4 linked regions of the Lonchura striata genome follow. The protein of the gene in region 2 interacts with the protein of the main gene of each other region in a biochemical or structural test. Links are inferred from orthologs where the notes say so. Each region holds a gene or a part of one and is shown on either strand. Other genes may lie near its edges.

The links.
Region 1: the proteins of RPS6KA1 (region 2) and PDZRN3 interact in a test that uses a peptide from one of them, tested with the Homo sapiens proteins (2 studies listed by BioGRID and IntAct, with this or other methods). The link is inferred for Lonchura striata from reciprocal best matches to the Homo sapiens genes RPS6KA1 and PDZRN3.
Region 3: the proteins of RPS6KA1 (region 2) and PDZRN4 interact in a test that uses a peptide from one of them, tested with the Homo sapiens proteins (2 studies listed by BioGRID and IntAct, with this or other methods). The link is inferred for Lonchura striata from reciprocal best matches to the Homo sapiens genes RPS6KA1 and PDZRN4.
Region 4: the proteins of RPS6KA1 (region 2) and MAGI3 interact in a test that uses a peptide from one of them, tested with the Homo sapiens proteins (2 studies listed by BioGRID and IntAct). The link is inferred for Lonchura striata from reciprocal best matches to the Homo sapiens genes RPS6KA1 and MAGI3.

What each region holds. Positions count from the first base shown.
Region 1 is NC_134614.1:21,033,244-21,040,176, forward strand, and holds the start of PDZRN3 (E3 ubiquitin-protein ligase PDZRN3), read right to left. Parts: upstream 3,020-6,933; 5' UTR 2,826-3,019; coding exon 2,109-2,825; intron 1-2,108. UniProt on the Homo sapiens protein: E3 ubiquitin-protein ligase. Plays an important role in regulating the surface level of MUSK on myotubes. Mediates the ubiquitination of MUSK, promoting its endocytosis and lysosomal degradation. Might contribute to terminal myogenic differentiation.
Region 2 is NC_134628.1:279,871-287,502, forward strand, and holds the start of RPS6KA1 (ribosomal protein S6 kinase alpha-1), read right to left. Parts: upstream 3,005-7,632; 5' UTR 2,958-3,004; coding exon 2,895-2,957; intron 1-2,894. UniProt on the Homo sapiens protein: Serine/threonine-protein kinase that acts downstream of ERK (MAPK1/ERK2 and MAPK3/ERK1) signaling and mediates mitogenic and stress-induced activation of the transcription factors CREB1, ETV1/ER81 and NR4A1/NUR77, regulates translation through RPS6 and EIF4B phosphorylation, and mediates cellular proliferation, survival, and differentiation by modulating mTOR signaling and repressing pro-apoptotic function of BAD and DAPK1.
Region 3 is NC_134607.1:38,354,242-38,361,405, reverse strand, and holds the start of PDZRN4 (PDZ domain-containing RING finger protein 4), read right to left. Parts: upstream 3,007-7,164; coding exon 2,365-3,006; intron 119-2,364; coding exon 32-118; intron 1-31.
Region 4 is NC_134632.1:5,997,591-6,005,202, forward strand, and holds the start of MAGI3 (membrane-associated guanylate kinase, WW and PDZ domain-containing protein 3), read left to right. Parts: upstream 1-4,606; 5' UTR 4,607-4,685; coding exon 4,686-5,007; intron 5,008-7,612.

The sequences.
Region 1 (6,933 bases), on a different chromosome or scaffold from region 2:
TGTTGGCCAGCTGCCCAAAATGCTGTGAAAGGCACGGAATTGGCTGACCAGGGCTGTGGTGACACGACACCTCCCAGCTTTCTCCAGACTGGTGGCTGCTCCAGAGAACTGCACAACAGCCCTTTGTAACGGGGCTGGACCCGGCACAGGGGTCTGGGCCAGCTGTACCCATAAATCTGATAGGAAGTATAGCTGAAAATATGTGTCATGAACATTTGCAGCCAAGAAGGAGCAGCTCTGAGGATTACAGCAGCTCCCTACACCGTACAGAGCTAAACGATGCCAACCCAACATCAGCAGCACCAGCCATGGAAAAAGGGTGGTGTGGGAATAAAGGAGAGCAAAGAGGAGGAGGCAGGGGTTGGGTGAGATGGTTTCTGACAGCAGGACAGTGTGCAGGGCTCTCCTGCCATCAGCAGTGGAGATGGAGCTGTGTGCCAGGCTGTGGGAGCAGAAAGCCCCCAGAATGCCATGGCAAAGTGCTGCAGGAAAAGGGGGAGACACCACTGTCCTGAATCTTGATATGACTGTGAACCCCCAATTTATTTTAATGGTATTACTAGCATTTTGACCAGCACACACCCAGTATTGCCTGAAGTTAGAACACTTCATTTAGTATTAAAATATTTTCTGGTTTGAGTTAGGAAAAGAAGGATGGGTTCTGTCCTGGATTCCTAAGAAGGTTAAAAAAAAAAAAAAAAGATCCTCTGACATGAAGTTTTATTTCCTTTACACAGCTTTTAGAGCCTCAACATTACCAGAGGTGTGAATACAGATGTTTGACAGTTTTGAACAGTTTAATACTGCTGTGTCTGTGGTAGCACATTCCAGGTCACTGGGAGGACTCTGAATGTCTTAATTTAAAAGATAATTGGCTTCCAGGGCTTTCCTCGCTGGGGAGCCTCATTCCAATTAAAACTTGGGGATTGTTGTAGCTCTGGCATTTAATTCTGGTCATTTTATAAATGGTCTAATTTTGAGGGGTTGAAATCAAGTTAATTTTTCCCTTCCTAATTAAAAAACCCTGTGTGATGATGGAAAAAAAAAAATCACAAGTACACAGCAAATATCTTGTATGTGGATGTGGATTTTACAAAGATGATGACCACAGATCCTGAAATAGCCAGTGAGATCTCCAAGTTGCATCATAGTTAACCCCAAAGCCTGCATTTTGTAGGAAGCCCTATTGTGGGATGCCAGGTGAGCTCAGGCTCTGGAAAGCATCGGATCACAGCGGCTTCTTCCAATTCACTCCGCTTTGTGTGACTCCTGGGAGTCAATTTCTGCTGCCTTAATACCATTTCCAGCCCTGGAAATTCCACTTTTAGAGTTTCTTCGGGGAAGAGAACCAAGAGAAAACAGTAACACCGCGAATTGTTACTTTTCTGTGCGAGTTAGGAGTCCAGCCAGCAATGACGATCACACTTAAAAACATACCTACAGAAAGATGTACCTATAGATGTGCAACTTAAAGATACGCCTAGAGAAAGCGGCGTATTACCCCTATTGAACCCCAAAGCTCAAATATTTGAAAAGATTTGCGGCCGGATGGGCTCTCCAGGAGAAACCCTGCACATGGGAACGCCCCGGGCGCCGCGCACGGGACAAGGCGCATCCCTAAGGATCCATCCCGGGGGACAAGGCGCATCCCTAAGGATCCATCCCGGGGGACAAGGCGCATTCCCTAAGGATGCATCCCGGGGGACAAGGCGCATCCCTAAGGATGCATCCCGGGGGACAAGGCGCATCCCTAAGGATGCATCCCGGGGGACAAGACACATCCCGAGGGACCAGGTGCATCCCGGGGGACAAGGCGCATCCCTAAGGATCCATCCCGGGGGACAAGGCGCATTCCCTAAGGATGCATCCCGGGGGACAAGGCGCATCCCTAAGGATGCATCCCGGGGGACAAGACACATCCCGAGGGACCAGGCGCAACCCGGGGGACAAGACACATGCGGAGGGACCAGGCGCATCCCTAGGGACAAGGAGCATCCCTAGGGACAAGGCGCATCCCTAGGGACAAGGCGCATCCCGGGGGACAAGGCGCATCCCTAGGGACCAGGCGCATCCCGGGGGACCCCGGGCAGCGCGGGGTCCATCCTTACCTTGCCGGGGGAAGCTGCGCGGGCGCGGGCCAGCGCGTCCAGGCGGGCGCTGTACTGCGTGAAGCGCTTCTGGTAGCGCAGCGCCGTCACCTGCAGCTCCAGCTGCGCCGCCGCCAGCCGCGACAGCAGCGACTGCTCCCGCTTGCCGGCGCGCAGCGCCTCCTTCTTCAGCGCCTTCTCCAGCGCGGCCGCCCGCGCCTGCAGCGCGGCGCCGTGTGCGCGCAGCGCCCGCAGGCAGCCGTGGGCGCCGGCGCGGCGCTCGCCGTGGGTCAGCACCAGCCCGCAGCCCTGCTCGCACAGCCCCGCGGGCCGCGCCTCGCAGCGCTCCCGCATGTGCGCTTCCACGTCGCGCAGGTTGAGCACCTGGCGGCAGCCGCGGTTGCGGCACTTGGCCGGAGAGAAGTCGCAGGTCTCGGCGTGCTCGCCCAGGTGCTGCAGCGGCACCACCGCCTCGCAGCCCCGCGCGTGGTTGTCGCACTTGATGTCCAGCTTGAGGATGAGGCTCTTGAGGGGCAGGACGTGGTTGAGCTCCTTGGTGGAGATGCGCTGGCAGTTGACGGGGCAGCTGCCCTGCTGCACCACCCAGGGCAGCACGCAGCCCGCGCAGAAGACGTGTCCGCACGGGGTGGTCAGCGGGTCCTCCAGCACCTTGTTGCACAGGTTGCACTTGAAGTCGGGATCCACCTCCCCGCTGAAGCGATCCAGCTCGAACCCCATCCTCCTTCCGCTCCGCCGCAAACAACAGAAGAAAAGGAAAAAAGAAAAAAAAAAAAAAAAACAACCCAGAAAAAGTACCCGGAGTGCAGCGACGGGCCGGGGCAGAGGCGGAGAACGGGAATAAATTAAGTCCGAGCCGCCCGAGAGGCAGCTGAGCCCCCGGCGCGGCCCGCGGCCGTGCCCCGTCCCCGCCGGTCCCGGAGCGCCGGGAGGAGCCGCGGCCGCGCCGCCGCCTGCGCGCAGCGCCCGCCCCGGCCGGCACCGCCCCCGGCCGGCACCGCCCCCGGCCCCGCTCCCCGCCGGACAACCGGGCTTTGTGCCGGCTCGGGGCTGCGCCCGGCCCCGCGCTGCTGCCCCGGCCCCCGAGCCCGCCGGCGGAGCGCGGCCGGGGCGGCGCCGCGCACACGAGCGAAAGTACCCGCGGGGACGGGATGGGATGGGATGGGATGGGATGGGATGGGATGGGATGGGATGGGATGGGATGGGATGGGATGGGATGGGATGGGATGGGATGGGATGGGGCCGCGCAGGGGGAGCGGGGTGAGAGCAGGGAACGGGAGAGGGAGGGATGGAGGGGATGGAGGGGATGGAGGGGATGGAGGGGAGGGGGAGCGCTGGGAGGGGCGCGACAAGGTGAGAGCGACCGGCCTCGGCCGCCGGCAGCGGTGACGGGAGGGATCGCTCGGAGCGACGCGGGGCGCATCGGCTGAGCACAGGGCAGCCCCGAGCTACCTGGTGTAGTGGAAAGCGTTCCTGACTGTGGTAAAAGGTTTGGAACCGGATGGTCTTCAAGGTTCCTTCCAACCCAAACCATCCAATGGCTCTGTGATGACTTTTGGAAAGGGCATTCACGGAGTTGCCCCTGGGGTCAGGTCCTGGACGAGTTGCTTAGAAATTGGGATGACTCCTCAGTCCTCAAGAGTGAATTCTTACATTACCGACGAGAAAAAGTGCAAACAGAACAATCTGCCGGTGTGTGAGGGTCTGCCAGTGTGTGAAGGACCGAAACATTAAGGGTTAATGATTTGCAAAAGCACCAGGGTGCTTTGCTGAGGTCAGGTTTGCACCCCGCAGCTGAAGGAGAGATGAAGACGTTTTGGGTGTGTGGTGGCAAAATCTCTGATCTGCCCAAGAACAGCCCAGATAGGGGGGGGATGAACACACACCGCCAAAGGATGGCCACGACAAATCAACCTTTGTTTAGCAACAAACCGAGTTTTGAGCCAGATGGGGGAGAAAGCTGGTAAGAAACAGACCCTGTGCAGGTGGGGAATGCTTTCTGTCATGCCCATGTCCTCCCTTACACACCTGGCTCAGGTGTAAGTGCCTTCTCGGGTCGGGGTATCGGGACGTTCACACACAGACCTGAGAGTTTTCATCCCTTCTGAGAAGGCACAACTGGCTCAGCTGTGCAGTCATGTCTGAGAAGGGGCCATAAACCATCAAAGATTCCCAAAGTGCCCCCAGACTCATGATCCAGTGTTGCAACAGAGAGTGGAAAACTCCCCCTCCAGGGGAGGCACTAGCACCTGAATCTGAACCTGTGTTATGCCACCAAACTTTATGTTCCATGGATTTCCTGTAGCCCTGATGGATGAAGGCTGAGACCATCACTTTGACAAATGGGCATCAAAACTGCAGCAGTCAAATCTTGTTTCTGGATCCACAGGTGGTGATATCTTTCCTTTCCACTGTCTACTCTTATCCTTTCTTTCTCTTTCTTCCTAATTATTTTCTTAAGTGATCTTATACTTTCATATTGCTCCTAATAGAGTAATATACTTACATATTGCTCTATTACTATAGATAATACCCAGAAGAGCTATGTACCTCCTTTCCCTTACATACAAATTGTTCCAAAATAAACTTGCCGTATATTTTATATAAATAAAAATACTCCATTCAGTGTCATTTCATTCTAATCCCCCCAAGGGATCTGTGAACAAGAACCTCAGCAACCAGTGCTGTCCACATCCTCATGGAAAAGGGATCAGATTGTTCTGTGTTTGCACAGGCTGCTAATGCCCCGTTGCTGCCCCTTGGATGTAGCTGATGTAGCTCATTAAAAGCCACCACTTTTGATACCTGTTCCTGCCCAGGGATGATTGAAAAGCACTCCTGAATATGCTGTAAAAAGCCAGCCAGACCACACCTGAAGCACCAGGCACAGCATTAGGCAACAGCAATTTCTCCTACAAGGCAGATATTCAAGTACTGAAAAAAAAAGCAATAAAAGAGACCAGCTTTGTTCATTGTGGATAGTGATGAAGAATTCTCACGTGCACCAGAGCCACAGAGCAGCTCAATTGTTCTTTTAAAATGTTTTTCTTTATGGCAAAGCAGAAGCCAGCGAGAAACTTCAGCTTCAAGTGGCCTTTATTGTGTGTCTGTGATGTCCCAGTAAAGCAACTTTCTGAATGCCTGCGATGACTTTTTGTGTGTTGGTGACCTCTAGAAGGTAACAAGACTCGTGGTTACACAACTGTGTTCCCATTTCAGTCTCAGGCAAGTATTTTTTAGTGCTAAGCCTTTTTCCTTTTCAAATCTGAATTCCATCTGTAGTGCTCATTCTAATTATTAATGTTCCATAAAGCTTGAGGTTGCTTTTGGCTCCATACATTGCCCTGCCGAAGGGAGCATGCATCAATATTTAGGGTGATATACCTAACTAAGGAATTTTTAACAGATTTGTTCCTTTTTTTTAAAAAAAAAAAAAAAGCAGATGATGTAATAGAGAACTGTGCATATAGGTTTCTGTTAACTCCATCTGAAGGTTGTGTGCACTGCAGGGTGATAAAATTTAATTAATACACGTATATTGCTGACTTTTGGATTCTTCTAATTAAACTGCAGTAGTTATTCTCATACTTCTTCTTGTGTTTCACTGCCTTTTGCATCTTCCTTCTCTTTGCCATCTGTTTCTCCTCGGGATATCTCTGCTCACGTGTCCCTCCTGCCATTCCCCTTCCTTCAGTGCCACTTCTGCTCCCTCCATCCCCTGGGGCCAGCAGCCCTGCCCTGCTGAGTCCCCACATGCAGCTGCAGTGTCAGTTCACACTTCCCTAGCAGGACTCTCTCGTCCTCCACTTTGCCACAAAACTTGGGATTGCTGCTATCAATCACAGCATCTGCTTTTTCCAGGGGCATTTAAATGAACTAAAACTCCACACTGCCTGCTCAGGGGATGCACACAGTCCAGCTGAGGGGGTTTGGTGCTCATTGCTGGAGCTGCTGTGTCTCTGATGGGGAAATCCAGCAGTGCACCTGGTCCTGAGCAGGCTGCTTTGAGAGAGCTGCTCCAAATCAGCCACCATCACCCCACAGACTCCTCTACCCCGGTTTATAAACTGCCCCGTGTGCTCAGGATGGTTGTAAATAGAATGAAATTAATTCCTTCAATGATTGCTGTGGAGGTTTGGGTTTAGGATTTCAAAGTTGTCGCTCCAGGATGCTCGAGGCCACTGCCTGAAGCCAGAGGCAGAGCTTTTATTGATTTCCACCAGGGTGACGTCAGGACCAGGTTCCTTGGGCTATTTGAAACTACACAAATATTTGGATGGAAAATACAGGCAAGAACTGGAATAACATTTTCACTTGGAGCCGTGGCTGGGCAGATGCTGTGCTGAATTCTGTGATACACTTTAATGTGACATTTATGTAGGAATAGATACTTTATTTATAAATTAAAGCTTTTGAAGGCCACTGCAGCCTTGCACTGAGATTACAGCTTGGACTGCTGACAGGGAATTGAAATTTCCCTCTCCCTGCTGCCTCTGTCCATGGGAGAAGGCACAAATGGAGCTTTCCCTACTGGAGACACATTTCTGTTCTCTTTTGGAAAAAAAAGAGAAAAGTCTGAAAAGCAGCCTCTCATCATGAGACTTTAATGTTCTTTTCAAAGCCTGAGGTTTGTAACTGAGGAGAGGTTTGGGTTCCAGGGCTGAAATTACACTGCCCCAGCTAAGGAAGGTCGTTTTTATTTAGTAAATTCTCTCATCCTCAGAGGTAGTGCTGGGGTGGGACCACTGCTGAGCCATTAAGGCTCTCCCACTTAGCTTTGCTCCCTTGTCAAAGGAAGGGTGAGGAAATGTCAGTTTGGGATACAGCA
Region 2 (7,632 bases):
AGCTGCTCTTCCACCCAACTCTGATGAGCCATGAAGCACTCAAGGAAGGAGCAGAGGGAGAAACCCTTCACCCCAGAGCTCCTGCTAGTTTGACACAAGAACAAGGCATGTTTAAATTATTACCATTAAGTAGAATTTATGGATCTTGCCTACTACAGTTTGGAGAAAGGAAATAATTCTACAAGAATAGAGATCTCCAAAGGAACTCCAGTGCCCAAACAGAGGAGGCTCTGCACAAGGCATATCAGGGATGACAGCCACTCAGCTGTCTCCCTTGTCTCTTGATCGTAGTTTGCACAACTCGAGCTACCATGCTTGAGAAAAGAGTTATTCATTAATAGCTCCTGCTCAATAAAGGGTGATACGTATATACAGGCAAAAATAATTAGCTTGAAGTGGTGGAGCTTGGCGTAATCCCACGTCAGTTGCATTGTTGTAGGTTTGTGTAATGAAAGAAGAATTTGAAGCAAAGCGGAGCCCTGATGACAGATCCACCACTATGGGGATGAAGTCATGGAATCAAAGAAACACAGGATGGTTTGGGATGGAAAGGACCTTAAAGCCCACCTCATTCCCCCTGCCATGGCAGGGACACCTCCCACTGTCCCAGGCTGCTCCAGGCCCTGTCCAGCCTGGCCCTGGGCACTGCCAGGGATCCAGGGCAGCCCCAGCTGCTCTGGGCACCTGTGCCAGGGCTGCCCACCCTCCCAGGGAAGGATTTCTGCGTCACTCAACTCCATTCTCCAGCTTTTGTACTCTGCCCCAGCCACGTTTTTCTGCTACAATAACCAATATTTGGAATAATATAAGCAGAAGAGAGAATGGCAAGGGGAATAAAAGCAGGAGCAGTGATTGTAAAGCCCAGAGTCCAGGACAGAGGGAGTTGGCTCCTGTCAGGGAGCAGTTCAGGCTCCCATTGCCACCCACTCCCACGCGTTTCCCTGGCATGGCTGAGCTCTGGTGGGCCGGGACAAGGGGCACCACACGGCCAATTCTCCTGGAACATAGTGGAAAAACCCCAAATCCCTCAACAAAAGGACTGATGCCTCCAGCAGCACGGTGACAGCACCTCTGCTCCATGACTCAGAAAGCAAAGGTCGGAGGAAGCCGGTTTCTAACCTGGATGGCAGCGATCCCAGGGCAATTTACGTAACCAGTGTTCCAGAAACGTCTCCTTGCTTTCTCAGTGGTGCCACCTCTCCCAGGAGGGGTGAAAACTTCCCCCTTGGGCCCCTGCCCTTGGCGATTATAGCCTCAAAGTGCAACACTCCTCCCAAGCCCCATTCCCGCTCTGCTGCAGGACCTCAGGCAGCTCTCTAACGTCTGACCAGGTGTGGAGGTGAAGAACACCTGTATTATATTCCTCGCTGGAATTAAGAGCGTGTACTCATCATTTTAAACCAAAGAGAGGCAAATTGCTAAGTGCCACTCGAGCTCCCGAGACGCAAAACACCTGATCCGCTGCAATCCCACCCGCGCGTGGCGCCCGGCCCTGCCCCGGAGCTGCGCCAAGGTGAGACGGGGCAGGGAGAGCCAGAGGCTCCCTCCGCTCTCGGCTTCCGAGCAGCGCAGCCGCTCCTGCGATGGGGAGATCGGTGCCTGCCGCCCGGTCCCCCGGCCGTTTCCGCTCGGAGCGATCCCGTGGCGCTGACACGGCGCCCGCCGGCACCGGGACACCGGGACACCGGGATTAGGCACTGAATGGAGCCTCGCCCGCGGCTTCCCCTGCCCTGGGCACCCGCACTCGTTTCCTCCCATTATGAGCCGAGTGGCGTTTCCTGGCTTTTCAGGCATCTCTCTTCTTAGGAAGGAGAAACCACAAATAAAAAGCCCCGACTCGCAGCAATAACCCACGGCCTGGCTCGGGGACATGACGCGATTTGGGAATCGCCGCAGGATTTCCCTCCTCTCCCAGCCTGGAGCACAAACTCCTCCTCACGGCTCCGCCGGTGCTCCAGAGCAGAGGCTCTTCAGCCACCTTCGTGCCAGGTGTTGAGCCCAGGCAGAGCCTGCCCACCTCACGGGGGCTGCAGAAGCTGTGCCATAGCTGGCTGATGAAAATTCGGAAACCTCACCTCAATGGCCAGTGCCTCCCTGCAGCGGGGGCGGGAGCGCTGCCGCTGCTCAAAGCACAGACCTCTGAAGAGGCAATTTTAAACAGGAATGAGCAAATCTGACCAATTAACCACGGAGATATCCCCAGGTATGATAACGGAGTGTGACAGCATGAAATCCAGAGAGAACGACAGGAAAGCACCAGGGTCTGTGAAACACCTGGGACCAAACCCCCACCTTCCCTCTGGTTTCTCCGGGAGAGCTGCTGGTTCCAGTTTGAGTGAGAATACGTTTAACTGAAGAGTGCCAGAGCACAGAGCACAACTGCTCTGCCATGGGTGACAACTGCTGCAAGCTGTCCCTTCCGTCAGAAATGGCTGTGCCAGCCTGCAGATGTGGACAGGGGATGAGCTCCATCCTGCACATCTGGCTTGGGGGTCTCAGTAAGGAGGAAAAGAGCCAAAGGGGAGGGAAGAGCAGAGTCCAGCAAAGTGACACCGGAGCGTGGTCGGAGTTGGCGGCGCAGGCCTTTGCGAGAAGACGGCGCTGGGAGGGTGAGGGAGAAAACCCCCAAAATTGAGATTTTTATTCCCCGGGCCTTCAGCCGGCTCCGCTTTGCCGTGTGCCCGGCAGACTGGGGAGCGCTGCCTGCACTCCCGGCACGATCAGAGCCGCACGGGCAGCAGCGAGCCGCGGTGCCCCGAGCAGAGCCCCGCAGCGCCGGGCTCCGCGGCCGCGCTGCCCCGCCGCGGGCGCGGCTCGGCCCGCGCCGCTCCGCGGGTCCCGCCGGGCGCTCCTTTGTTCGGCGGAGCCCCCCGCCCCGGAGCCCCCCCGCTCACCTCCGTGTCCAGATGCACCAGCTCCATGTCGGGCCAGGGCTCGGCCAGCTGGGCGAGCGGCATCGCTGCCGCCGGCTGCCCGCGCCGGGCTGGCTGCGAGCGCCGCCGGGCCGGGCACGCACCGGCTCCGGGCCGGGCCGGGGCGGGGCGGGGGGCGGGAGCCGCCGGGGAGGGGCTGCGGGGATCCCCCGCCCGGAGCATCCGGCAAGCCCAGCCCGGCGTGCGGCGGGTCGGAGCGCGGGATCGCCGGGGCTGGAAAAGCTCCCGGCGAAGCATCGAGTCCCGCCATGCCCCCGGCCCCAGGCCACCGCTAACCCGCGCTGCCAGTGCCACAGCCACGCGGCTTTAAATCCCTCGAGGGATGGTGACTCAACCTGGGCAGCGTGTTTCAATGCCTGACCAGCCTTTTGGTGAAGGAATGTTTCCCAATATCCAACCTAAACCTCCCCCGAGGCAGCCTGAGGCCATTCCTTCTCCTCCTGTCCCTGTTCTCTGGGAGCAGAGACCCCCCCGGCTGTCCCCTCCTGTCCAACCAATTGCTTTTTTTAAGTTACAAATAAATAACTTTGGAAGTGTTGAAAAGTTACAGTAGAAAATCAAGTCTTCTTCTTGAAGGCCGCAGTGAAAGGTTCATGGGCAATATCCAGATCAAGGCCTATGGAGAGCATGGGGACAGAAGTGCTGCTGCTTCCACCCCTGCCAGGTTGGGATGCAGGAAATCCATCATATTTCATAACACAGAGACAGACATGCTGCCTCAGGACTTGACAAAGACAGAAATCATGAAGCTTCACCTAAATAAAACTGCCAGATTACCCTGTCCACTCCTTTTAGCAAAACAGCAAATGAAAGACTTTGGGGAGACCACAAATGACTTGTGATTATTCTCTGCAGCTACTTTTGTTAAAGGAGAGGATTTTGCTGAGGTAGCTCTACAGTATCTCAAAAGTAAATAACACCCCAAAAAAGGTTGTGGTGACACCACAGTGATGCTGGGGGGAAACGCTCCGGCCTCTCCATCGCCAGCTCCAGGAGCCCAAGAGAAGCCAGAAGTTCTCAGACTGACCTTCCCTCCATTCCTGCTCCAGGTAATGCTGAATCCAAGCTGGATTAACAGAAGGTGAAATGTGCCACAGGAAATTGCTGCTAAGTCCAGGATGTCAGGGTAAGAGAAATGAGGTAGCGGTGTCCCCCAGGATTTATTTCCAGTCAAAGAACAGCTATAAAAAGCATCCTTGATCCTGGAAGCAGGGTGCAAAAAGCAAAATCTGCTGTTTGGGTGACTGTCATGGCTAAATACAGTGATTAAAACATACAGCCTGGCATTTTTCTGAGACAGTTGCAGGCTGGGAAGAGCTGCTGCTGTGGTAAACAGAGACTTGGGATCAGCTGGATGCTTTGTCAGTGCTGCTAGAAGTTCAAAATGCTGCGGGTTTAGTTTGGTTTTAAAACCATCAAATCCTCCTCCAATACAGTTGTAGATATTTTTGCCTCTGCAGCTGGCTGGCTGTGTAACATTTTTCCTTTGCAGAAACGCTGACAACATTTGTTAAGCCAGTTAAGAAGAAAATTAACTCTATCCCAGCTGAAACCAGGACACCCCCAAAGCACTTCCAGAGCAGATGGAGACTGATCTGTATCATCACTACCAGATCCAATTTTGCCTGACTGCTCCAAAAGCTGGCCAAGTGATTCTCCCCATGGCCACAGTAACCCAGTGCTCCCATGGCTCACTGCATCCTTTCTTTTTTTCTGAATGCATGGGCATCTCATCCCCTGCCTGCTTTGTGGGCTGCTGCTTTTACACACCCAAGGAAATGCAAAAAAGATCACAGGCACAAGACCTTCCTTGCAAGGCTGAATCCCAAATATCTGCTACAATTTACAGACTCTTCTAATTTGCTAAGACAGTCAATTAATTAGAGCTTGCAGCAACCCTCTTTGTACTTTTAATATTGACCAATCAGATCCAAAGCTCGTTGTTGTCCTCACAGGGAAACTGAGTCAGGTTTTCAGTGTCAGGGCAGAACCTGAACTCCACATCCTGTCTTTTAATCCCTGGCTCTCCATTCACCATCTCATTTCTTTGCCTCTTCTGCTTTGTTTTGCCACTATGGAGGATGAGATGATGGATCACCTTGTTTTGATCCCAGGAACATTTTTCCGTAGCGTGGTAAAAACCACGTTGAAGATACAAAGCAGGGGCCCTGGAAATGAGAAAAACTGGCTGCCTCTAAGAGCTTTTTGCTTTTCTGACAGATTTCTTTCTGTTCCTCCACGCTGGGTGTGATTGCAGCTGCCTCAAATGCCAGCGTTTTCCAAGGCAGGTCCAGGCAGTGGTCGGAATGCAGGAATTGCACCACAGCAGGCAGTGGGATGCAGAGCTCTCGAGGAAGCACAGCCCAGGCAGTTCCTGCTCCCTGAACAGGGATTGTGCAGACTGAGGCTCTGTGGAGCAAACACCTCCAACCTCGGCCGACATTCCTGCACAGGTCAGCACCACGTTCCCTTGCTCAGCTCAGATGCATTTCTGAAGGCATCCAGCACATCTAAACCATTTCTTTTTTGTCAGAATAAAGTGCATTTTGCCTGCCGGCCCCGCAGACTCTCAGTCTGCCAAGCCCCCCTGTCCCGCGCGGTATCTCAGTGGATCCACCCGTCCCCATCCGCAGCTCCGGAGCCTCTCGGTGAAGCACACAGCTCCAGCCCCGGATTTCTGCTGCAGAACCGACCGAGCTGCTGGCTCCAGGGAATGTGCCTCGTTTGTGGGCTTTGCACCTTTCTCTCAGGAATGCTGGATGCAGCCGAGGGAGCCGCGAGCCGGGATGTGCCCGGGGAAGGCGCTGGGGAAGGAAGGAGCCGAGCGAGGCGGCGAGGCCGTGTCTGCCGGTTGTCATGGACACAATCGCTGCCCGGCTCCTGGATCAGTCACCTTCCCTTTCCTGGATGCCAACCAGCGAGTGGCTCCGGCGCAGGATGCAGCCCTTGGCACCCGAAGAGAAGGAGGAGCACATCTGTTTGAAACCCACACATCTCCTCACAGCATGTGGGGGGAGAGTGGGAGGCGACTTGGGTTTTTGGAATTAAATCTATGCACGGCCGGTCCATAATGCTTTGCCCAATTCCATGTGGTTCTGGCCTAAGCTTTGGCTGTTCCTGGGACACAGAGGAGCTGTTTCACAGCTGTCCATCCTTTTGGGTTCCCGAGGAACTGCTGAGGACCTGGGATCTGCCCGTGCTCCCTGTGCTCAGCACCCAGCAGAGCTCTGCAGGCTGCACGGACCAGTTCTGCCTCCAAACATCGAGAGGTTGTGGCTCAAACTGCACCCGGAATCGTGGAATTTTTTGGGTTGAAAGGGACATTAAAGTTCATCCAATTCCATGGGCAGGGGCACCTTCCACTGTCCCAAGCCCAATGTCCAGCCTGGCCTTGGGCACCGCCAGGGATCCAGGGGCAGCCACAGCTGCTCTGGGCACCCTGTGCCAGGGCCTGCCCACCCTCACACAGAATTTCTTTTGTAAAATATTCCTTTACCTACCTGAAAAAGGCTTTTTCAAAACCCCATGTAAAATACAAGCATTTCCTCACCTTTTCTAATTTAATTTTTAGAACAGATCTGCAGCCCAGGTGGGAAGTTATTTAGAGCAAGTTATCCATCAAATTTAGTTTTTAATGAGCACACAGCTATGTTTCTAGCTTATTTCAGTGTAGGGCTATGTGAGGGAGTGAAAGCATGAAAGAGAAAACTATCAGAAACTGTAAACAGAACTGAAGTTGCCAGGGCTGTTTGCACTGTCCCCCAGGAGGGAGAAACTTGAGTAAACACAGCACCAAGTACAGTCAGGGTTTATGGTTCTTTTAGGTTTAAGAACTTGTAAACAAATGATGGGGCTTTTAAGTGGATACAAAAAGATACCCTCGGTTTTGTGCTGCTTCCAGAGCACACAGGTCCCACTTTCTCCAGAGAGGGGAGGAGAAAACAAAAGCACATTTCAACAGAATTCCAGCTCCAGGGAGAGGAAAATGTCATTCCAGGGTTTGCGGTCTGGAGCTGACATCCTGCAGCTGAACAAGTCTGGTCCTGCTTTGCAGGAGGCACTCACAGATACCTGCTCCTAATTACCCCATCCTGGAGTTTGGGATGCCATCACTCCACAGCAAAAAGAAAAGAAAACATTTTAGGCTTGGAAGCAAATTTCAGAAATCCTGACGAGAAGCCCAAACACCACAGAAACCGATTTTCCTTTGGGGGACCCCAAACTTTATGTCTGATTTCAGATCAATATATGACTGGCAGCATTTCACTTCTCAGTCCCCTTACTAAACAGAGACCACTGCACACAGCCAGCCTTGAAAAGCCACATCCCAAAATAACCATAAAAATATACTTATAAAAGATGAGAAGTGATCCTGGCCAGGAATATTTTGGCCTAATGACTGATTGGATCAGGTAGGAAGGCTTAACACAAGCATGAGCTTTTGGAGAGGTGGGGAAAGAGGTGCCTTCAGCATTTAGGGAGAGAGAAACAGGTCTCTCCTAATAACAATTGTTTCTGTATTTTATACCTGCTCCAGGCAGTGCAGAGCACAGCCATGACTCAGTTGGCTTCAGGGCCAGGTAGGAGATACATCCAAAGAATGCTCAATGGGTTCCTTGTTGGGAACGGAACAAAAGGCACAACAGCTTCACTGATGGCAGAAACCTGATTCCCTGGAAAAAGAAAATCTATCTGTCCC
Region 3 (7,164 bases), on a different chromosome or scaffold from region 2:
CAAAATCACCTACAGTTACTTTCTGCATTACCTGACTGGGTCGTCCTCCTACAATATTGAATCCCAAAGTGTCATTTTCTCGGTGTAGCATGATCACTAATGGTTTGCGTACTCCTCCCTAAGAAGAAAGAGATTAAACATTGTTAAAGAACACAGTCTCAACAAGAAGTTATTAAATGAAAACATTATTTCATGTAAGATTTTAGCTGGAGAATATATAAGATAAGGCTTGAAGAAAAACTAGGCTGAAAAGACTTGGCACTGGAAAAAAAAAAAAAAAAAAAAAAAGAAAAGACAAGATTCACTGAAAAGTTAGCAGGTAACACCTGATTATCTCCAGTTATCTTCAGCTGAACAGAAAAAAAGGACAGATTTTAGGTGTCAGGAATGCTTGGCACCACTGAAAAAAGTCAGAGCTCCAAATGTCTGGAAGTGTCTATAAACATAAAATCCCTATTAGTGTTAACATTTTAGACATTAAACATACAGATTAAAATACACAACATTATAAATTTCAGACCCCAAAGTCCTACCAGTACACATTTTAAAGCGATTTTCAGAGAACACAGAGAAGATGAAAACCAGTTTTTATCCCAAACTTTTTCTTTCCAAAAGGAAAGAATCCAAAACATCTGTAAAAATATGGGTTGTAGTCTGAAAAAAGGCTTAAAGTATAAACCAGACACTGAGAAGTATACACGTAGAAAAGGTTAAAGATGAGAAAAGAAAAAATCTTTTCCTTCAGTGGACCAGGTGAATAATTAAAATATTTTAAAATTGAAAATCGGAGGCTTTAGCACAGCAAGTTACCTTACTTTACGCTGAAACCCACATGTTATTAACTGTGCCAGTGACGTGTCTTATGCCCGAACGATAGGTTTGAATTTAATCCCGTGCATGTCTACGGGAACAGCGCAGCGCGACGGAGATGCGCGGGCGGCAGCGCCCACAGCGCCACCTGCCGGCGGCGCGGGCGCAGCGCCGCTCCGCACCGCGGCCGGCCCCCAGCGACAGTCCCGCCGCTCCTCCCGCCGCACCACCCCTTTCCTCGCCACCCCCCGAGCAGGCACTGTCCCACTGCTGTCCCACAACACATGACCTTATCTCGTCTGACAAGAGATGAAGAAAGTGTATGAAACCTCTCAGGTCCACCAACCTAAACCTCACAAACTAGCTAACTAGAGGAAACGTAAAAAAAAAAAAAATTACTCAAGTTTTCAGAATTACTCAAGACCTCCGAGACCTGTATTCTGAGGCATTCTTGTGTCCTGTGAACAACGTCCCCTTTCCCATTTTCCATGCAGTAGGCAGATGCCCAGCACACTACATTGCTTCTTCGGGTGTGAGTTTCACTGCTCAGACCTTTTCCACCTGGGATTTTGCTTCCCAAGGGCCCAGGTAGATTTAGGTAGAAAGAAAAATTCCTTGCATTAAAATACTTCTCACCACGGCTGCAGTCAGCAGTGCCTGAGCCTACACAGTGAGCTTCCAGGCAGGAATTAAAAACCAACCAGTTCCACCACAGCAAGTGAAGCCAGCTCACCGCAATTCTCGCATGGTTTGTTTTGCCTGAGGAGCGTGTCGGTCTCTGGGCAATGCCCTCAGATCTGAGAGGCGAGCGCAGCAATGCTCCGGCCTCTGCTTATCAACGGCGGTAGCTGTCATGCCATTCTCCCAAAGCTTCGCTGTCCTTTTGCCATCGTTTCCAAAGTCTACAATAAGTTTGCACTCAAGTTTTTTAAGACGACTTCTAGCTGCTCAAATAAAAGTTAAAAGCCAGCTCCACGCCCCTGAGCTGCCGCCAGTACCAGCTGGAGCAAAACGAGAAACAAGAGCAGCTGGGTCCCTGCGAGGCGGGGCGGTCTGATGTGGACACCCTGATCGGACGAGCCGGGACCCGCTTGCCAGCTGCCAGCCCAGGAGCGAAGCCATCTCCCCTCCCGTCCGCTCCCCATTCTCTCCGGCCGAGCAAGCGCTCGGTCGCAGCCTCTGCCAAGCACTGCTGGGCTCACCGATTTCGGCTACCGAAGGGCGCCGGAAGAGGGACAGGCAGGGAGCGTGTCCCCAGTGGAGGTGTTACAAAAAAAAATCAGTAAAAACAAAACTCTTCATCTGGCAACAGGGACCGGCGACTATATCTCCCCGAAAGAGGCGAGAGACGGCTCGTACCGCCCGGGGGATGGGCAGCGAGATCGGGCTGGGTCCCGGACTGCTGTGGTGGTGACTGCCGGCCCCGGGGGCACCGCCCGCCCCGTCACTCGGCCGGTGGCTCACAAATCGGGTACGGGCAAAGCAGGAGGAGAGCACAGCTGGAGGGGCGCAGACCAGGCGCGCTGCCCCGCCGACCCTTGACGCCGCACTCACCTTGCCGGGCTGGCCGCCCGCCAGGTCCCGGGCGATGCTGCTGATGTGGCTCATGTACTGGCCGAACTTCGCCTGGTACCGCCGCGCCGTCAGCTGCACCTCGCTCTGCAGCGCCGACAGCTGCGCCAGCAGCGACTTCTCCCTCCTGCTCCAGCGCAGGGCCTCCCTCTTCAGCTCCTGACCCGGCTCCGGGGCGCCGCCGCCCCGCAGCGCCCGCAGGCAGCGGTGCCCGCCGTCCGCCCGCGGCTGCCCCGCCGCGCTGCCCGGCGAGCGGCCGGGGGAGCGCCCGGCCAGGGGCTGCGGCTCGGCGGGGCCGGCCGGCCCGTAGCGGCACGCCGCCAGGTGCGCGGGCAGCTCCCGCAGCCGCACGGTGCGGCCGCAGCCCCGCGGGCTGTAGTCGCACTTGACCTCCAGCTTCTGGACGAGGCTGCGGAGGGGCAGGACGGGGCGCAGCTCGGCGGCCGCCAGCGGCCGGCAGCGCAGCGGGCAGCGGCGGCGCCGCGCCGCCCAGGGCAGCAGGCAGCCGGCGCAGAAGACGTGCCCGCACGGAGTGGACAGCGGCTCCTCCAGCACCCGCCCGCACAGCCCGCACTGCAGCTCCGCCGCCACCGGCCCCGCGAACCGCGATGGGTCGAAGCCCATGGCGCGGCCGGGCACCGCGAAACTTTCGGCGCCGCGACCCCGGCCTGGCCCCGGCGCCGCTGGAGCCGGTCCCGGCGGGCGGCGGCGAGGGGCGGGCGGAGGAGCGGGGCTGCGCCGGGAGAGGCGGGCGGCGGCGCTGAGACGGAGATCCCGGCGGCTCTCCCCACCCTCTCGCATTAGCTCCCTCTTCGCGGCGCTACCGCCCCACGCCCAGCGCCGGCACCACCTCCGCCCTCCCGGAGCATCCTCGCTGCGCGGCGGGGCCAGGGACCGAGGCGCCGGGACGCGCCGCCGCTCGGCCCGCGCCCGCCGCCCTCCCCCCGCGGGCACTGTCCCGGCGGGAGAGCTGTGTCCCGGCGGGTCACTCGGGACTGGGCTGTGGGCCCGGAGGGAGGGAGGGAGCTGAAAGGCTGCGGGACAGCGAATCGCTCAGGCTCCGACTGATGCACACTTGTGCTGGTAAATAACGCGCACGTGTGAGCACGCCGGTTTCATGTCTCTCCAAAAGGCTTCCTCCTCTCTTTTCCTCCCGTTTTGGGATATCTGTCAGGACACAGAGTCCTGAAATCCCTAGTACTAGTGCTCTCTTTGCTGTCACACCATAAAGGAAATAAGTCAGGATAACAAAATTATTTGTTGGGCTCCCTTAAACTACAGCATATGCATAAACAATACGTTTCTTTAAAGAAAAGCTAAAACACAGCAAAATCTGGAAAAGCCTAGTTAGGATCAATAGCTGCCTGGATTCTACCCCTTCATTGCTGCACAACCCACAACATACACTGAAACATGAAACCCCTAACACATTCCCCACATAACTTCACTACTGAAAACACAGGGCCAGATTGCTGCCCCCAGCCCTGTGGAAAACCTCCCAGAGCAGAGAGGGATGGAGCTCTCTGAGGGGTTTCTTCAGTGGACTCCTTCTCATGTGGATCAGACACCATCATTTTTGGAAAGGATGACAGGTTTGGTCTGTCCAGGCTCGATCACAGATTATTTCCTGGGCTGAGAACTTCTGAGGTTAGAGCCAGGGTGTGTCCTCACCACTTCTGCAATTTCTACTTCAAATTCTGAATCTCAGAAGCATCCCTCTAGGAAAGCTATGGGGGTTTTTGAGACCCAGTAATGAATGGTTCTTTTCCATGACTAAAAATATATAATGTGAGCAATACAGCTGAGACTTTTTTTCCCCCAAAGCAAGAAGGAAAACCTTGCACATACCTGCCCATAGAACTGAATCTGGGATAGCAGATGTTATGTATACTCATGATTTACTTAAAAAAAAGATTGGCAATACCTCACAAAACATCTACAGACACAAATACTAGTGAGAAGCATGACCAATCTACTTGCCAAATGGAAACCCACAGTTTTTCTTGGATTACCATGGCCATGAAAAAAAATAAGCAAATGAACTGCACCATCAAATATCTCTCATCTTGAAGACAATGCATTGTAATCCAATATTTCATTGCAGATCAAAATCACATTTTCCCACATGAAAAAGGAAATCAGACACCTTGAGTAATTGTGCTATTCATACTGCTTTTTAATAATCTATCCATGGATTTCAATTGCTTTGCTCATGGAGTCAAATCAGTGTCATCCAAAATGCTATAGAAAATTATTTTTAAATAGTGTCCTCCTCTCCATTTTTAAATTTAACTATTAGCTTGGCCTCATTATTTGTTTACATACTCTTCTGTCTCATAGTGTCCCAATGTATCTCTTTGACCTCATTATTCATGGCCCAGAACTTCAGGTCTGAGCACAGGCAGTAATGTCTTCATTCATAAATTAAACTGGGCAGAGAAAAGGCTCTGACACTGTTTCATAATCTGTTAAACTGGTATTGCTTCTGTTAGTGTGATTCTTGAAATGGCTTTGGTGAAGATGTGTGAGCAGCCTCCAAAACCACAGCTGGACACAGCATTAGCACTGCAGGGGCAAGTGCCAAGAGATAGTTTGGGGTGGCTGCCCTCTTTGGGAGGTGGAGGCTTAAGGGCAAGGCTGTGAGTCCTTCTGGGGTCCCTGGCACATTTTATTCACCAGTATAAAGGCAGTCAAAGGAAGGAGGTAGCAAGGTTTGAGCCCTGGAGACTTTCAGATTCTTTTAGATTAGGTGATTAATTAAACAATGGTTTAGGCTTCCTATGGTAATCATACTTAAAAAAACCAACTCTGTCCTTTCTGGCCCATTTTGGGCATTGATACAATGTCAATGCACTGGCTAAACAGTTCCAGGCAGTTGACTTTTTCTTCCCTTGTGCTGGACTAAGAGATCATCTTTCTTTGCCATGATGTCAGCACAAATGGAAGCACAGGCAACTGGGTTGATTGCAGAAACAATTTTCCAGTGCAGGAACCTGTAATACAGACAAATATACTAAACTCATCTAAAGATAACAGCTGTCTGCATACCAGGCCTCCATGGAAATGGATACACATGGATAAATACATGCAAATGTTACCAATGTGCTTACAAAAGATGATTCCTATAATTAGTCCTATTAGTTCTGATGTAATCAGGAAATGAAAAACACAATCTTCCTACTGTCCTGAAGTATTCTTAAAGAGACAACATAATTATAATTTTTTTTTGCTTCTCCAGGGTCTCAGCACCCACAGCTCCAAGTTTCCTACAGCCACTCCAGTCATGGGTTCATTGAGGTGGTCAAAGAAGGAAATGCAGATTTAGGGAGATGGAGAGAGGCTGAAGAGCATAGGAGCAGCAGTGCTCTCCTGAACACTGGGGACAGCTGTTATAGCAACACACTGGGACTGAACCTGGTCATGGATCAAATAAATGTGCAGAGCCTTGTCCCCAGATCAGTCCATGTCTTCAAGAGCTTCTAACACATTCATTTTTGCTCTGCTCAGTAAGGCAGGAAAAGTAATTAGAGATAAGAAAGCATTTGCTTCCTTAGTCACAGGTACCTACACACGCACACACACACACACACACACACACACACATTTTGTGGGAGGATTTTGGTGAAGGTAACTGTCCTGAAGGAATTCTTTACCAGCACAGAACCCCAGCTGCTCCTGATCATCAGAGCTGGGAGGAAGAGCTATTTCTATTAAAAATAGAGGGTCATATTTGCCCATAGTTCTTTTCTCATCCTAGGAGGATCTACAGCTTAAAGGATGAATTTTACAGCTGTTTCCAAGTCTTCTGATGAAAATATCAGAAGACAATAAGAAATTAGTACTCTGAAATATTGAAGGTTTCTGTAAGGCTCCAGGCTCCACTGAAGCCAAAGGGGGAAATCCTGCAAGCTTTCAACTCACATATGTGGGAATAAAATATGTATTTTTATATTCCCACCCTCATTTTCATAAAAAATTGGCCTGTTATTCATCCACAGAATTTCACAAAAAGGTTCTTTTTCCAGTCACACTAGTAAAATTCTGTAACTAATCTAGACCTAGGAAGACTCAGCAACTTCACTCTAAGAACTTAGATCTGAGCATTTGCTATTAAAAGCTGTTATCATCAGAAATCTGCAAAGAATTTTTTTTTGCAATTTTTAAGTCAGCAAGGAATTTTTCTGTACTACAGTTTATCATTGAGCATAGTAAAAGTGTTTGGGGGAAGTGTTCAAGTCTGAGAGTGTACAGATTTTTGCTGAAACCTGAGCAAGTATTTGCATTCATCAATTAAGGAAAGAAAATTCAGCTAAGCTGCATACATTGAGAGAAGAAGATTACATCCAGAAAACATTTGTAATTTATGTTATTCACCAGCACAAAGACACTATATGATCTCTATGTTTGTGCAACTATGTATAACATCAAATAAATCAACAATTCGCTCTGGCCACCAGGAAAACGAGAACTAGTCTTAAAAACCAGTTAGTGGGTGGTCTAGAGTTTTGGCTTGCCTCTTTTACTCACTAAATAGCCATAAGCAAGTCCTGAAAAGCTTTTCACTTTTCACTTACTGCTAATGCTACCCAGCAGAATATACAGCAGTCATCTTAAGTCCCTATACAACACCTGTAGTGAACAAAGATGCCTCACCAGGGCACCTTAGGGAAATCATAATTGAAATATGCACCTTCCAACACAACAGGTGGACAAAAGCACCTTCCAGGATGTGCCTGACCTGGGAGGTGTGCTCTGCAGTCACACCCTTGAGGTGTGAACCTT
Region 4 (7,612 bases), on a different chromosome or scaffold from region 2:
CTGCTGTCATTGTACAAAGCAGTACAACTCAGGTCAGAGGCAGACTCATCCCTTGACCAAGCTTTTAACCTGTTGGCAGTTGTTTGTGTTAAGCAAACAAACAATTTTCTGTCAGTTTTCCCCCATATTCTCCATCGCAGGGTTACAGAGCTTCCTTCAACTGAGTTGTCTTTCATTTAATGAGTGTTAGTTTAAAAGGATTTGTGATGTTTCAGTTGCAAAATGATGTTGAATATGCAGCTGGAAAATTGAGGCATACAGAGGATCTGTATTCACTGCTGATTTACTGTAAAATCTTGGTTGAAACATCTAAAATTCCCAGTCCAGAACTCTTGCTGTTTACAGGATTCCTGAGGAAACATTCAACACTGTTCTCTGCTCTCTGATGATCAGTGATAGTAGTACTGAAGGCACAACATGGAACTGTGTCAGAGGAAGTTTAAGCTGGATATTGGGAAACAGTTCTTCTCCCCATAGGGTGGTTGGGCACTGAAATGGCTCCTCAGGGCAGAGCAGTTGTCATGCCCCAAGGCTGCCAGAGCTCAAGGAGTGTTTGGACAACACTCTCAAGCACATGGTAGGATTTTGGGGTTGTCCTGTGCAGGGTCAGGAATTGGACTTGATGATCATATTCTATGATTCTCTGATTCTATTGTATGCAATGATCAGTAGTTCTGCATTGCTCGAGAATGGTTATTTATATGTGAAAGAGGAGCAAAGAAGGATATACGACTGTGTGGATGCTATTCCTGCTGGTACAGCCTCTCATTTGCCTGCTGTGCTGATGTGTTTATGAAATACAGGCAGGTTTATGATGCAGCTTTGCATCAGCGAAGAATGCATTGATCCCCATCTACAGCCTGCTGGGTTGATACATTCTCCTTTCCCAGGTGAGGAGCACAGACACCAGGGATTGGTGTCTGCCCAGGGTGACAAAGACTTCTCTTGAGGCTTGAGTTTATTCTCTAAGCTTTACAAAATTCCCTGGTAAGGTCTGGTTCCACGGCAGCTTCTGCTCCTGTACAAGTTAATTTATGACATGTTTTAAAGTTTGCCTTCAGATAAATGTCTCTTAGAGTCACACAGTTTTCAAATAGACAGTCCTGGATATGTCTGTCAACAGAACAGCAAGTGCCTGGCTTTGAACCACTCTTATTCAACTGTGATTTGTTTGTGCTTCCTCAGAGGCATGGAGCTTCCTGAATAATTTCTGACCCTGTGTTTGAGATGAGGGCTCTGTTAGGGAATAACACTGTGCCCACTGCTGCTTCCTGGCAACTGATTTTGTTTTCAGTTAATGCAGTGGAGTTAACCATCACTTGTTGGTTCTCCCAAAAGCTGTAAAACATTGTGGTCAGGTAGTGGTGTTGTGAGAGAGACAGAGCTCCTGTGTGCCCAGTCACCAGGAAAATAGGAAATAACATCCTTCTGCATGAACAAATGCCATCTCTGTATCAGTGCAACTGGCTTTCATGTCATCCTTGCTGAGGAAGAAGGTGTTCTTATTTTGTGTTTGTGCATGTTGTGTGAGTATTTTGCCTCTGTGGCACAGGATTGCTGACCTATACGTCACACCAAGATTTGCATGGCAAGCACTGGGCATGAGGAAAAGGGCTTCAGAGGAATCTAAACACAATACCACAATTCCTTTCCTAACCACTCTGAGACAATATGTCTTCATGCTCTAATTAAACAGCGGTTTGACATGTTTTTGCTGTTTTGATTGCCTTTGAACTTTGGCAGTGTGATAAACAAACTTTACTTCCTTTCCTACCAAAAACTGTGCTGCCTTAAAAGAGTTTATGTCCTTCATTCTGGTGTGACAGATCTTAGCATCCTCTTCTTGTGGCATTCTGTATGTGCTGATGCCAACAGCAGAGTGGACTGGCAGCTGTCACAGTGTGATGGGTGATGAACCAGGGATGCTGGAGCTCTGATGTTTCTTTGATAGCCCCTTTTAACTCACTGAGAGCTCCAAACATTAATGATTTCTCAGCCCTCAGCAGGTCACCACTGGTGGGGGTGCAAGGGCACATTCCTTTCTGATCGTGTCCAAGGCTGTGCAGACACTTCATGTGTCTGGGATACGTGATGAGTAATATGGAACAAGAAATGAAAGCAAGACAAATGGACTAAAGCTGTCAGCCAGTTCCCAGGCAGCCCGTACATGTTTCGAAGTTTGTTCATGGAGAGCAGGAGGAATATCCTTCATGTAATGTACAATGAACTTGCCCAACTTGCTAGCATAATAAAATTTGCAACAATTAGGCAGCTTGTTTTGGCTTTTAAGTTTATATGGAAGCATACTCTTAAAGACAACAGTACTTTCATTGCAGAACAGCAGTTTCATTGGTTTTTTTACCAGTGTTATTAATTGGCATATGTCAGTATTTTGGAGCTGCCCTCCATTTCAGGTGTGTAAATGCAGTGCACATTTCAACCCAAGGTTTGAAGTCTTGGCCAGTGAAAAGACTGAGCTGTAATTTCCTAAGGTGAGGGCTGGACAAACCTTCTGCTTAGGGGGAGGGACAAACTTCCAACCCTTGAGCCAGTCAGACACTCATCTCTTCCTTGAGATATCCACACTGTCTGCACAGGACTCTGTGTATTCTCTGGAACATCTGGCAAAAGCTACCATCAGCAGCTCATAAATTACAGCTCATGCCTGATGTCACAATTCCCATGTGAAAAACTGAAGACCTGTTTTAAACAATGTGACAGTGTCTCTTTTAATGTCCAGTTCACAAGCTTTCAGCCTTTTTGCTTCTATTCTGCAAGCGTGAAATAAAATTTATCTCTGGTGGCTTTTTCCATGCCTGTTGGCAGGCAGCCCAGTGCGCCTCAAATAGCAGCGAACACGATGAGCTGAACCTGTGCTTGTAGCATTTGGTTAATGTCCCCAAAAAAAGTATGGATTACATTGTTTTACCCCAGCAAGTAAGATTGGTGTTCTTCTGACTTCTTTGGAAACATTCTTGCTTTTTTTTTTGTAAAAGCCATAGACTACTAGGCCTTAATGGTAGACAAATCTCTAAGAACTGGAAAAGGGAAAATTTCTGGTTGCAGAAGTTACTGTTTTTTGTTACGAGCAGGTTTCTTAGTGGTTTCACTTACTATTTATCGCTGCAAAATTCAGTGTTGAAATCTGATACTTCTAACACACTGTGTTGTCCAGACTGAGGTGAACACAGGGACACAGCAATGGGAACAAAAATCCATTGTTTTACAACTCAGCAATTATTCTTTAGGCTCTGCAGGCACCAGCTTCTTCACTTCCTCCTACAGAAAAGAAAGCAGTACTTCAGTCATAGCTCTTTATTTGCAAACAGTGGCAAGGTTATACTTTCTCAGGACTCAGATTTTTTTCCAGCCCTGCTGCTCCTTACAGACTTCAGCCCACTGGGCACAGCTGGAGCCTTCAAGATGCTCCTAAAACATTGTAGACATCACAAGAGATTTGCAGTGAAAATTCAGCCTCTGATTAAGAGAAAAAAATTTGAGGACTGGGCAGTGAATTTTGCAATTTGAACCAGAAAGCTTTCAAATAATTATTTTCCAGCTTTTATAGCAGTGACACTGATTTTGAATGAACTTTCCTCTGCTTCATACTTTTTAGTGTTTCCTTTCTTCGGCAGCTGCACTGTGCTCCCAAATGCTGGAATGTACATGTCGCATACCTGGCGTGTAATCTGCACCTGGCATGAGTTAATTGCTATGCTGAGTTCTGTGAATCACAGCTAAATAAACAGGCTCATGTGAAGAGAAAACCCACTGGATTTGTGTTTCCAGTTGAAAAAGTATCTGCATGTTTATATTTAAATTGTTCCGAGCTCTGTTTTGGCCTGAGGTCATCAAACTACTTTGAACCAACTGGTTCCAGTGGCAGTAGCCATAGGAATGCTGGGAATACACAGGAGTGGTCTCCGCCTGTCTGATTGTGCAGGCACTAAGTGCAAACATGAGAGCAGATTATGGACACCCCACCTCAGCTCTCACACCTATCTCAAACCCAGCTGCCAAGGGGGTCTCCTGGCTAAGGGGTGACCCTGGCTGAAGGTAAACTCTTCCTTAGGTGGGAGCTGACTGGGAGCTCTTAGCTGATAAGGCCCTGGCTGAGGGGAGCTCCTGTCTGAGGAGAGATCCCGACAGAGATGCTGGGTGACAGGAGACCCTGCCTGGGATGGGCACTGACTGAGGAACTCCTGGCTGAGGAGAGATCCTGCACGACGCAAGCCCTCGCTGAGAGCGACCCTGCTGCAACGGGCGCTGGCGGGGGAACTGCCGGATGAGGGGGTATCTCGGCCTAGGCGGGCATTGCCCGAGGGGCTCTTTCCGGGCGAGGAGGACACACCCGGAACGTGCCGCAGCTCCTGGGGGTCCCGGCGGGCCAGGTCTAAGCCCCCTACGTGCCCCGGCTCGGCCTGGCCCGGCACCCGCGCAGCCTCGGACCGGCAGCCCCGCGCCAGGGCCGCGGCCAAGGGGCGGCAGGGCGCGGCGGGCCGGGAGGGGCGCGGCCAGCGAGGCAGGCAGGGCGCGGCGGAGACGGGAAGAGCGGAGCCTGGCGGGGAGGGGCGGCGGGGCGGCGCGGGGCGGGGCGGCGCGCTGGGGCGGCAGTCGGGCGGCAGCCGCGGCCGGGGCGGGAGCGGCGGCAGCGCGGGGTGGGTAGGGTCGCCCCGTGTTGCGGCATGTCCAAGACGCTGCGGAAGAAGCGGCACTGGCTGAGCAAGGTGCAGGAGTGCGTGGTGTCCTGGGGCGGCCCAGCGGGCCCCGACCCCGATCTGCTGCGCGGCGGCGCCGAGCGCGGCGAGTTCCCGTACCTGGCGGGCCGGCTGCCCGCGGGCGGCGAGGACTCGCCGGGCCCCGCGCTGCTCTCGGGCAAGGCGCCGGCGCCGGGGGACGTGCTGCTGGAGGTGAACGGTACCCCGGTGAGCGGCCTCACGCACCGCGACACGCTAGCCGTGGTGCGGCACTTCAGGGAGCCCGTACGCCTCAAGACCGTGCGCCCAGGTGAGCGCCCTCCACCGCCGAGCTGGACCGAGGCCCTCCCGCCGCCGCCCAGCCGGCCGCGCGTAGGCCCGGCCGCGCCGGCGCCCTGGGGCGGCGGGAGGGCCGCGGCGGGGAGCGGCGCCCGGAGGCAACCGGGCGGAATCCGGGGCGCGGGTGCCCCGCTGGGAAAGTTTCCGCGGGTTCGGGAAGGCGCCGCTGCCGAGAGGGGTGATGCAAGGCAGGAGGCGGTCCCGCAGTCTCGGGGCGGCCTCAGGACGGTGCTCTCTCCCCAGTCCCGTCCCGGTAGCCTCTCCCGAGGGTCCTCTCCCCGTCCGGAATGCCCGGCTTCGCGATGCAGCGTTTGTGCGGGTGTGACCCTCGCGGGGCTCTGGGTGACTCAATGGCCCCTGGAGGGTCTGGTGCCTGCGTCCTCCTCTCGGAGGTGCAGGAGGTGCTTTCCGTGGTGTTTATATAATCCGCTGCTTGCAGAGGTCGAGGGTGGGTGGGGAATGGCCGGGATGGAGCACCGGAGTGCCATCGCTTCATCCTCTTAGTTTCCCACTTGGCAGAGATAAAAGCCCTGAGAACAAACTCCGGCTGTTATTTTTTCCACAGATTTGTATTATTTTTGAGTACACTTCAATTAGCTAGTGCTTGTGGTAACATCATATTTATCAACGTGCCTGTTAAATGTCAGAGTAATGCTGAATAGTGGCGCTTGCAGCTGCATGAGTTAATTCATGAGCTCCAGAGGTACCTTCTGCTTTCTTGGTCAGGCAAACCAGATGTGAGCCTGCTGCCTTATAAGAAGGTGTCTTGGGAAAAAGTATTTTTCTCTGAATCTCAATGGATATCAGTATCTCTATTATTAGGGTCTATAATATTTCTCCTAGTGCTTCTTTGCTGAGCACTTGTCTTGTTCTTCTTTGGTAACTGCTGGGTGCTCTCTGACTTCATGTAATATGTATTTTAAGTCGGGTTTTCCCTGTTTGACCACTAATGGAAAGTCATGTTCCATATAGAGATTGTGCTGTTGGTCCTGATTCATATAACTTGCTAAATTAAAGCAACAATCAAAAAAAAATCCCATGAAACAGACACACATCTTAGAAGCCTGGTAGGTTTTGAAAAAGGTCTTTATTTACAAAATTGGAAGTCCCTTCTGAAGGGAGAAAATGTAAAAGAAAAAACAGCTGCAAGTTAGATGTGAACTAAGAGGATTTTAAAAAGAGAGACAAATTGTTTAAGATAAAAAATAATCTCTTTTTAAAAGAGAAAGCTTGTGAAAGATGAAATTATAGTTCATAGGGATTTCTTGTATTTCCTATGGAGGGAGTATTCTTGTGCTGGTAATTTCTTAACAGCAATGTCAAACTGGCAAAAAATATTTAGAAGAAATAGCTGCAATTAGCAGTAGAAAATGGCAAGAGCTAGATGATGTTCATGAGGGCTTCCAGGTATTAACAGTAGTGCATTGCCTGTTCCTTAAATTCTGGGTGGTGTGAAAGGGAGAGGAGTGGGGAGTATAGAGTACTGATAAGAAAAGAGTCCAGAAGGTCAACAGAGGCTGGTTGGTGATTCCAGCAAGTTGATTAAAATTTGAGTTTTAGAAGAGAAATAGAACATTGGGCATGTGAACCAATACCACTTAATGAGCAGAGTGGGCTGCTTTCACTGGCTGGTTTAATCAAATCCGAGTATTTTGGTGAGGTGGATTTTCAAATAGGCTTTCAGTAAGGTATCACTGACTTGGATGAGTCTCTTGCTGAGTGAGCATGGTGTGGCAGTGTAGCTGCCAAAATAGAAGAGCAGAATTCTCCTGTGGCTTAGTAACTAGTTAAAACAGAGGAATGGTTTCTTCAACAGAAGAAAACTGCTGCTGGAGTCTTGTAAGGACCTGTGCTGTTTAGCATAGTCATCCAGAGCTTGTAAACCTGATGCTGGTGAGTTGTACAAAGAGAAATAGCATTTTTGTGCTGATTTTATGTAACTTTTGGAACAGATCAAACAAAATCTTCAGAACCAGCAATTTTTCCCATACTGGAGCATATGTACCGCATCAGATGATTTTTGTAGTCATTTTCTCAGTTAGATTTAGTGTCCTTGAATACAGTATTTTAAAATATACTGGGTTTTGGTTGTTTTTTGCAAGGCTGCCACAGCTGCACAATGGCAATTTTCCAGTCAGGGTATATGTAATTAGGGAAGTTGTTGACAAGGCATTCTCTGTGAAGACCTGTGACTTTGAATTTGGCTTCCCTTTTGATCCAGAGCTATCCAAACCCGCCAAGTTTTGGAAGGCGTCTGGGAAGGTGCATGTGACCATGCAGGTGGTTGAGATGAAGGGAGTGAGGGCCAGGAGCTGGTGGTCCCTGGTAGGCACATAATACGTCTGAATTCTCAAAGACATGTAATTGTGTTACTGCATTTCAGGGTCCTGTGTTTCATGATTTTCCTCAGTCAAAACTGAAACCATCATTTGAAAGGCATGGAGTGCTCTGCCAGCAGACCTTTGTGTGCCCCATGGCTCTTCAGGCTTGGGTGCTATTGGGATAGAAGTCCGAGGGAATCTAGTGTCAGGGACTGACAGTGAGGGATTTGTCTCCTTGAATCTGAAGTGTAGGGT